Linked DNA regions of Daphnia pulex. The protein of the gene in region 1 interacts with the protein of each later gene in a pairwise test. Links are inferred from orthologs where the notes say so. Each region holds a gene or a part of one and is shown in the gene's direction. Other genes may lie near its edges.

What was found.
Region 2: the proteins of protein quaking-like (region 1) and ELAV-like protein 3 interact in a two-hybrid assay, tested with the Caenorhabditis elegans proteins (2 studies listed by BioGRID). The link is inferred for Daphnia pulex from reciprocal best matches to the Caenorhabditis elegans genes asd-2 and exc-7.

The regions. Positions count from the first base shown.
Region 1 is NC_060021.1:4,081,681-4,084,561, reverse strand, and holds the end of protein quaking-like, read left to right. Parts: coding exon 1-24; intron 25-1,028; coding exon 1,029-1,108; 3' UTR 1,109-2,381; downstream 2,382-2,881. UniProt on the Caenorhabditis elegans protein: RNA-binding protein that binds to the 5'-NACUAAY-N(1,20)-UAAY-3' consensus sequence in pre-mRNA introns to promote alternative splicing.
Region 2 is NC_060020.1:3,291,553-3,295,654, reverse strand, and holds the start of ELAV-like protein 3, read left to right. Parts: upstream 1-1,302; 5' UTR 1,303-1,715; intron 1,716-3,462; 5' UTR 3,463-3,497; coding exon 3,498-3,584; intron 3,585-3,695; coding exon 3,696-3,873; intron 3,874-3,995; coding exon 3,996-4,102. Other genes in the region: AP-1 complex subunit mu-1-like, read right to left, coding at 1-42, 118-159.

The DNA.
Region 1 (2,881 bases):
CGTCATCCAACGACGGCACCGCTGGTGGGTTGTTTGCCCGATAGCTTCTTTCACTTTCCCTAAATTTTATAAGCATTATTGATTTCGAAAACTGTTAGATTATTATTTCCATGTATGCTATTTGATTTGTTCAGAGCTATTTTTAGTCTTTAGATTATGACTTGATTTTTTAAGCTTAGGGACTTGATTACGTTTTAGTTATAGTTGAACTTTGGCATATTTCGTGCCTTGTGCTTTAATGCAAGCAGTACGATTTATTTTATTCTATTTTATATAGATATATATATATATATATTTTTTTTTGGGGGGGGGGGGCAAAACCACGTCAAATCATAGTGGCACATAAAAAAAATAATTTTCTGGTTTCTTTAGCTGCGTTATTAAAGTGTAAGTTCGTACTTTGCTTTCTCTTGCTGCGTGGATATCTAAATAGTCGTAAGAACAAATTTTCATCAAGTTCAATTTGTAGTAATGGACTTGCAAAAGAACATTCCCATCCATTACTGCGATTTTTTTTTAAGGGAATCGCAAAAGGATGTACGTCTAGCAATTTTCTTAAAAGTCCTCGCTTTTCTTCAGTGAGCGTTTTATACAATTGAAGTTGGATACGTTTCAGGAGTAAAGTGTTAATTGAAAACAATCGCCCACACTAATCTGGTCTTGAGATGCCATCAAGGTGTCGTGCCTGCTGGTTGATTAAGTGCAACAATTTTTTTGGAGTTGATTGAAATCTCGTGTTTTTAAATCAACTGACAAAAAAATTGGTCAGTTTGGTTCAAACACCTTTCTCGGTCAATTGTTTTAGCAATTGACTGATGGTCCGGTACTCAATCCTCGCAGGCACGACGCTTTAAATCAGCTTACTTAACATAATAGGATAAATGACGAATTGAATGTTTTAAGAACCAAATGTTTTGTCTTTTGTTTTTATGAATCACATTATCTGTCTTTACTTCTTCAGTGTATTTAAACATAAACATACTAATGAAACACCGGCCGCTCCGCTCCCTCTGTCTGGCTGATTGTAGGAGGCGCTAGTGGGAAGCTGAGACGCCATCTGGGCTCGCAAGGGCGAGAGCATCCTTACCAAAGGAACGACCTCAACTAACAAGCCAACCAACAACTACCACCCAAAAACAAACCAATCAAAAACAAACAAAAATCCAACCCAACCATCCAGCAGTTGTCCCAGATATTCAGGCCAGGTGCGTTGCCTCTTCCAACCAAACCTTAACTTACTAATACTAACATCTTATATATATATATAGACATTTACGCACAAAACCAATTGTGTTGTGTTTTAAACGTGAGAGTTCGTGTAAGCCAAGCGTCGGAGCTAGGTGCGAATTACTGTTGAAATGTCGCTTTGATCAATTTGTCGGTAAATTTGCCTTAATTTTAAAGCTATCAATGCTGTTTCGTGCATTCAAGGCGAACGTTCTGTGTAAAAATGATTTGGCTCGTCTCTGTGAAGTTAGGTTGCGTGTTTCGTTACTTCAAATGTTTTATTGCTGTTTGCAATATAACGATGATGACAGATGCAGTTTATCCCGTTATTAAGAACTTCACACACACACACCAAATCCGGTGCCCTACACGTTCATTCGCTCGTGGCCATTTTCTCATTTCACTACCGCCCGTAAACAAATCCATCTTCAATCTTGCAAGTTGTTAGGGCGAGAGTGCAATCATTGAACAAAGTTCGTGCTTTTTCCTCAATGTGTTAAAGGCTCGCTAAAGGGCGAATTACAAAAAGGACAGTGGAAATCTGCTTCATAAAAATGTGCAACATGGCATATGTTAAATTCAGGCCGGCAAGCTCGCTTTCTCGTTAAACGAATCAATTATTTTTGGATTTTTTAAAATTATAGTATCACTGATATCTTACTACCGAACTGAATGAAACAACATACAAATGGTCTGAACTTTGAATGTACTTGTCAACCTTGTAATTTTCCTCGAAAACTAATTCATTAACCGGCGTTAATTGAACGTTTATTAGCTGAAGATTGAAGCAGGTGGCAACCAAGAATCAAATAATTTCGACAGCTAAAATTTAAGATCTGTTTGTTATCCGAGTGTCGTGTTATGTTTCTCGTGTTTCATGTACAGTTTCAAATTGCATTTAAGTCATTCTATTTTCTTTAAAACGTTTTTACTACTTTCAGTTTAGCTGTATCGCATTCGAACTCTTGTTGGACCGTTTCGAGTGTTTTTCTTTTTCTTTTTTTTTATGGCGAAGACCATTGTTTGTCTTTCGTGTCATTTGATTTGCAGAGAAAACATCCGAAGTACTTAGTGCCAATATTTACTATTATATATATAATGAATATATATATATAATTGTTTCAGCCAAATACAGTGGTATGCCTTTCTAAAAATCATTTGCGTGACTTTTACTTAGTTTATTACGGTTTCCTATGCGATGTAGTCGCATCCCTTCTACCATTGCTTCCTTTGGTTTTGTATGTGAAATGACGTATTTGGTGTTATTTCGATTACTGCGTTTGCGTTTTAACTCAGAAGCGGAAACCTTAACTAGCGACTCGCCTTTTCAGTGGTAGTGTTCCATCAATTGGGACTTGTTGGTCTTAGGGCAGGGCTTCAATTTCTTGGCTGTGCAAACTTAAATTAGTCTACTTTATCCTGAGGCCAAAAGAAGCGGTTGACGAAGATTTTACGTATTGCATAAGGATTTCATATTACTAACTCTTCTTGATCTAATCCATGCCACTTAATCAATATCGATGGGACCATTTGATACTAACGATTTTTTTTTTCTTTTTCTATTCGTTCTTTCAATATCCCTTACCTGAAACTCCCTTACCTTTTCGTGACTTTCTTGCACCTGGTAACACCAATAAAACTTGCCACCCAATTA
Region 2 (4,102 bases), on another chromosome or scaffold:
CCCCATTTCGACATCTCCTCGGTAGTTGCGCGAGATCAGCACCTGTTTGACACCAACACGTATATACTCATGACTCATAAATATTCATATAAAATCAGAAATTTAAACTATCTTTACCTTTCCCTTTACGTCAAGAATGAAGATTGCTGACGTCGACATGATGAGTTAAAAAAAAAGAAACCACTTATTGTTTAATATTAATAATAAGAGATTTCTTGATATTTATTTAGACGGGAAATGGGCCGAGATGACAGTGACACCGCCACCCAGTTTGGCAGGTCTTTATCGGTCTTCTGCTACGGAAAATGCCAAGTCGCTGAAATTCAGATTCGTCTAAAGCGCACCAACAAAATGGGTGAATTTTCATTTCGAAAATTCGACGAATAAATGTTTCACAGTATGTTACATGCTTAAAATATATATGATTTGTAATTTTGAAAAAAAAAGCTAATCAAAATGTTTAATCGAAGATCCTATATCGCCCCATGTATGATAATCGTGACTCATTGCAGTCTGACATTTTAAATTCAACTAGGAATCGAAACAATGGATTTTCAAAATGAAGAAGAATATACACCTAATTATTTTGATATTATCTGATCGAGAGGGAATGAGAAAGGGGGGAACGATGAAAGCCAAGTCGTAATACGTAATTCGTGCTTTATTCTGCGTCCCTTTGTTTGATCGATGAGAACCGTGGAAATTAGAAAAAGATTCCTTCTATTCAAATACATCAACCCACATACAAATATACATTTTTATCTAGCTGCCTGTGTGGTATACACGCAGTTGGAACAAAAGAAACGCAGCTAGATGGTTATAAATGAGTTCAATCCAACAAATCAAAATGTCGGCTCTTCTCTCTCTCTGTGCAGTTGGCAGAAGACACAGCAGTCATCCTGTCTGGCAGAGTCAGGAAAAGATTCGTTCCCAAAGGCTAGTATACGGACGTTCCTCAACACACTAAAGAAATCAATACACAGTAAATCCTTAATGACGTCATCCTCTGCTGAGGAAGACGGAAAAGAAAAACGAAATCGTCTAAAATCTTTGGCATTCCAGAGTTAATGAGTTACACCAACACATTTCTATTACTTGTCCAGCCAAATATATAGATCGGAAATATATATAAATAAACATGGCTAAAAATTTTTTTTTTATTTATACAAGAGGGATATATAGAACTTGAAGCATTTCCATTTCAACGAGAGGGGGGAGAATAACGAAAATGTGTGCGATCAAAGGAGGTGGGGGGGAGAACGGTGGTGGCGCTACCATGCGCACTGCAATTTTCCATTCGAACCGACTGTTTAGTGTAGTAGACGTTCAGACACACAGCGAGCAAGTCTTGTGTTCCTTCGTTCCCATCCTTTTTGAAGTTTTTTCTCGTGTGTTAATTTTTTCTTTTTCTTCCATCCATCAGCTATCAGTTTCCTATCCTCTTTTTTTGTCTTACCTTTTTTCAGTTTTGACAAAAACAAAAAACAATTAAATTCTAAATTCGTATTCGTAATTTTGACTCGATATTAAAACACACGGGCTGTTTTTTCTCTTGATTTCCTTTTTTCGAAATATCGTTTTTTGATTCGCGTTCATTTTTCTACCTACACGTTTTCCCTCCAAAATCGTTCTTTTTCTTAAATCGACGACAGAGTGTGAGAGTGTGTGAGACCACGCGGGTAACCACCGGCCATTTTTCCAACACATCATAAAAGGTAATATAATAATCTTCGATTGCATAGGGTACCCCCCTTTTGCCATTTCAAGATGGCGGTTTTTCGGAGAAAGAAATAAGTAAGAGATAGATCGGGTCAAAAAAAGAAAAAGAAAAAGAAAAAAAGGTATGGAACGGGATGGGCTACGTAAGCAAACAGCTGCCGAAACCAACTGTCACTGTGTTCATACCCAGCCTCTTGCCCTAGCCGTCGTGTGTGTAGCTAATCATTCCCCCCCCCCCCTTTCCCCCCACCTTTTTTTTCAGTGAGTGTGTATAGAGTTATTTTCATTTCACTCATCAGTCAACACACACACGAAAGTTTCGTGTTTTATTTTTTCAGAAAAAAGGGCAAGGTCTTGTCAGGAAGAAGCAGCTGCAACTATGGGAGGGTCTATATCGATTTAGTTTTTTGTGTGGCCCCCGCGCGTGCGTTCAAAGCGACGATCAATAATCCAGCGGCGTCCGGAGAGACCCCCCTCCTTCTCCTTCGGGAATGTCGTAGACTTTTAGTAACAGTAACTCTACAGCTTCTTTTTTTTTTTCAAACATTTCTTTTCACGAGGTGCTGAGAAAAAGTTTAAATGCGTTTTCTTTTTTAAGGTAATGACATTTTCTAGAACGTTAACTCATCACCCTTTGTCGGTTTTTGAAAAAATTAAAACGGAAACCGGATGAAAAGTTCCGAGTAGGGCAGATGGTGGGCGCAAGCGCCACTTCGATCCATCTGCGCCGTGTGTGTCTATGTGTTTGCATGGCCTCCATGGCAACCGTGACTCCCCCACCTTTTTTTCAGTGAGTGGATCAATAGTTCTTCTTCTTCTCTGTCAGTAGTATAGAAAAAGAGAGAGAGGGGGTAGTAGTTGGCTAGCCTAGCGAACAAGATTTTTTCGAAAGGAGAAAAGAGAGTCGAGGGAATCGATGAAAGAAAAACTCGTTTTCTCTCTCTGCCGCATTGGACGATTCGATCCTGGGAGACATGAAAGAGCCGGACGTAATACGAAACTCTCTCCGACGACTTACTTTTTTTCCCCGGGTATTATTCATGACGAGGGAACATTGTCGCGCGTCTTGATCTAACGTGTCGTCCAAAAAATGTTATCATAAAAAAAAAACCGTTTCTCAAACAACAACCCCGTTATTATTTGTTCTGTTGTTGCCTGCGACACAAGAGAGAGAAAGATCTCATCGACCCCATGTTGCCCGCTATTCAATTCAAGAGTAGGGTGTCTGCACATTTCATGTGCAGATGGTTACCAGGGGGTTGTTGGTTGGAGCAGCTGCATCCAGGCTTTTTAAATTCCCCCATCTCCTTTTGTGTGTGTGTGTGTTCACTGTGTGTGTGTGTTGTGATTGTGTCCGGACGCGAATCCCCATTCCACGTCAGATGGCGTCATAATCCTGCGACCAACCAGCTACTCTTGTGGTGTACAGACGCCGATCGATAGCTCCTCCGCCGAGGTCTCTAGCTCCTTTTTTCCTCTGACGCCCAAAAATTCGGCTGGCTAGTCCGTTTTCTGTTTGTGTGCTTTTGTCGTACTAGGGGTATGCGAGTTTTGGCTTTCTTGTTTTTCCGTTTTAAAAAAGAGTATTTTTAATGAGAGGACACGTGTCTTTAAAACACTTTAGTCACGCTAATGAGTCCCGTTCCACCTCGGAGCGATTGCTCTACGACTTTTCTGTGGGCGTATCATTAACTTTTGTCTGAACAAAACATTTATTTGTTTGTATTTTGTTGTCTTTTATAGATTACGCAGCAGCAGCCGAAAGCATCAGCGACAGAATGAACGGTTTAGAAAGTCTACCTCAACACGGCGTCCTGACAGCCAATGGACTCAACCACGTTGCATCCGTCAATAATGTTAGCCACGTGAGAGGATTCGTCTGTCTCATTTTTCTACTCTACTTTTTTAAATCCATTTCCTGGACTTGTCGTGTTCGACATTGACGTTGGTGTCTTGTTTCTTTTCTTCTCATACAGGGATCGCAGCACATTGTACCCAAAGATGACGAGAGCAAGACTAACTTGATTGTTAATTACTTGCCACAGACGATGACCCAAGAAGAGATTCGTTCCTTGTTCGCCTCCATTGGCGAAGTCGAGAGTTGCAAACTCATCCGCGACAAAATCACAGGTCTTGATTTTGAGATCAATGATGGTAGATAATTTATCGACTGTCTGGAATTTTATTTTAACCCCTAAATTATCCGAATTCAGTAAAAATCAACCCGATTTCTCTCTTTTTTTTTCTGTTTCCGTTTGTGTCTTTCGATCTGAAAGCAGGGCAGAGTTTGGGTTACGGATTCGTCAATTACCACCGAGCTGAAGATGCCGAAAAAGCCATAAATACTCTCAATGGATTGCGTCTGCAGAACAAAACCATCAAG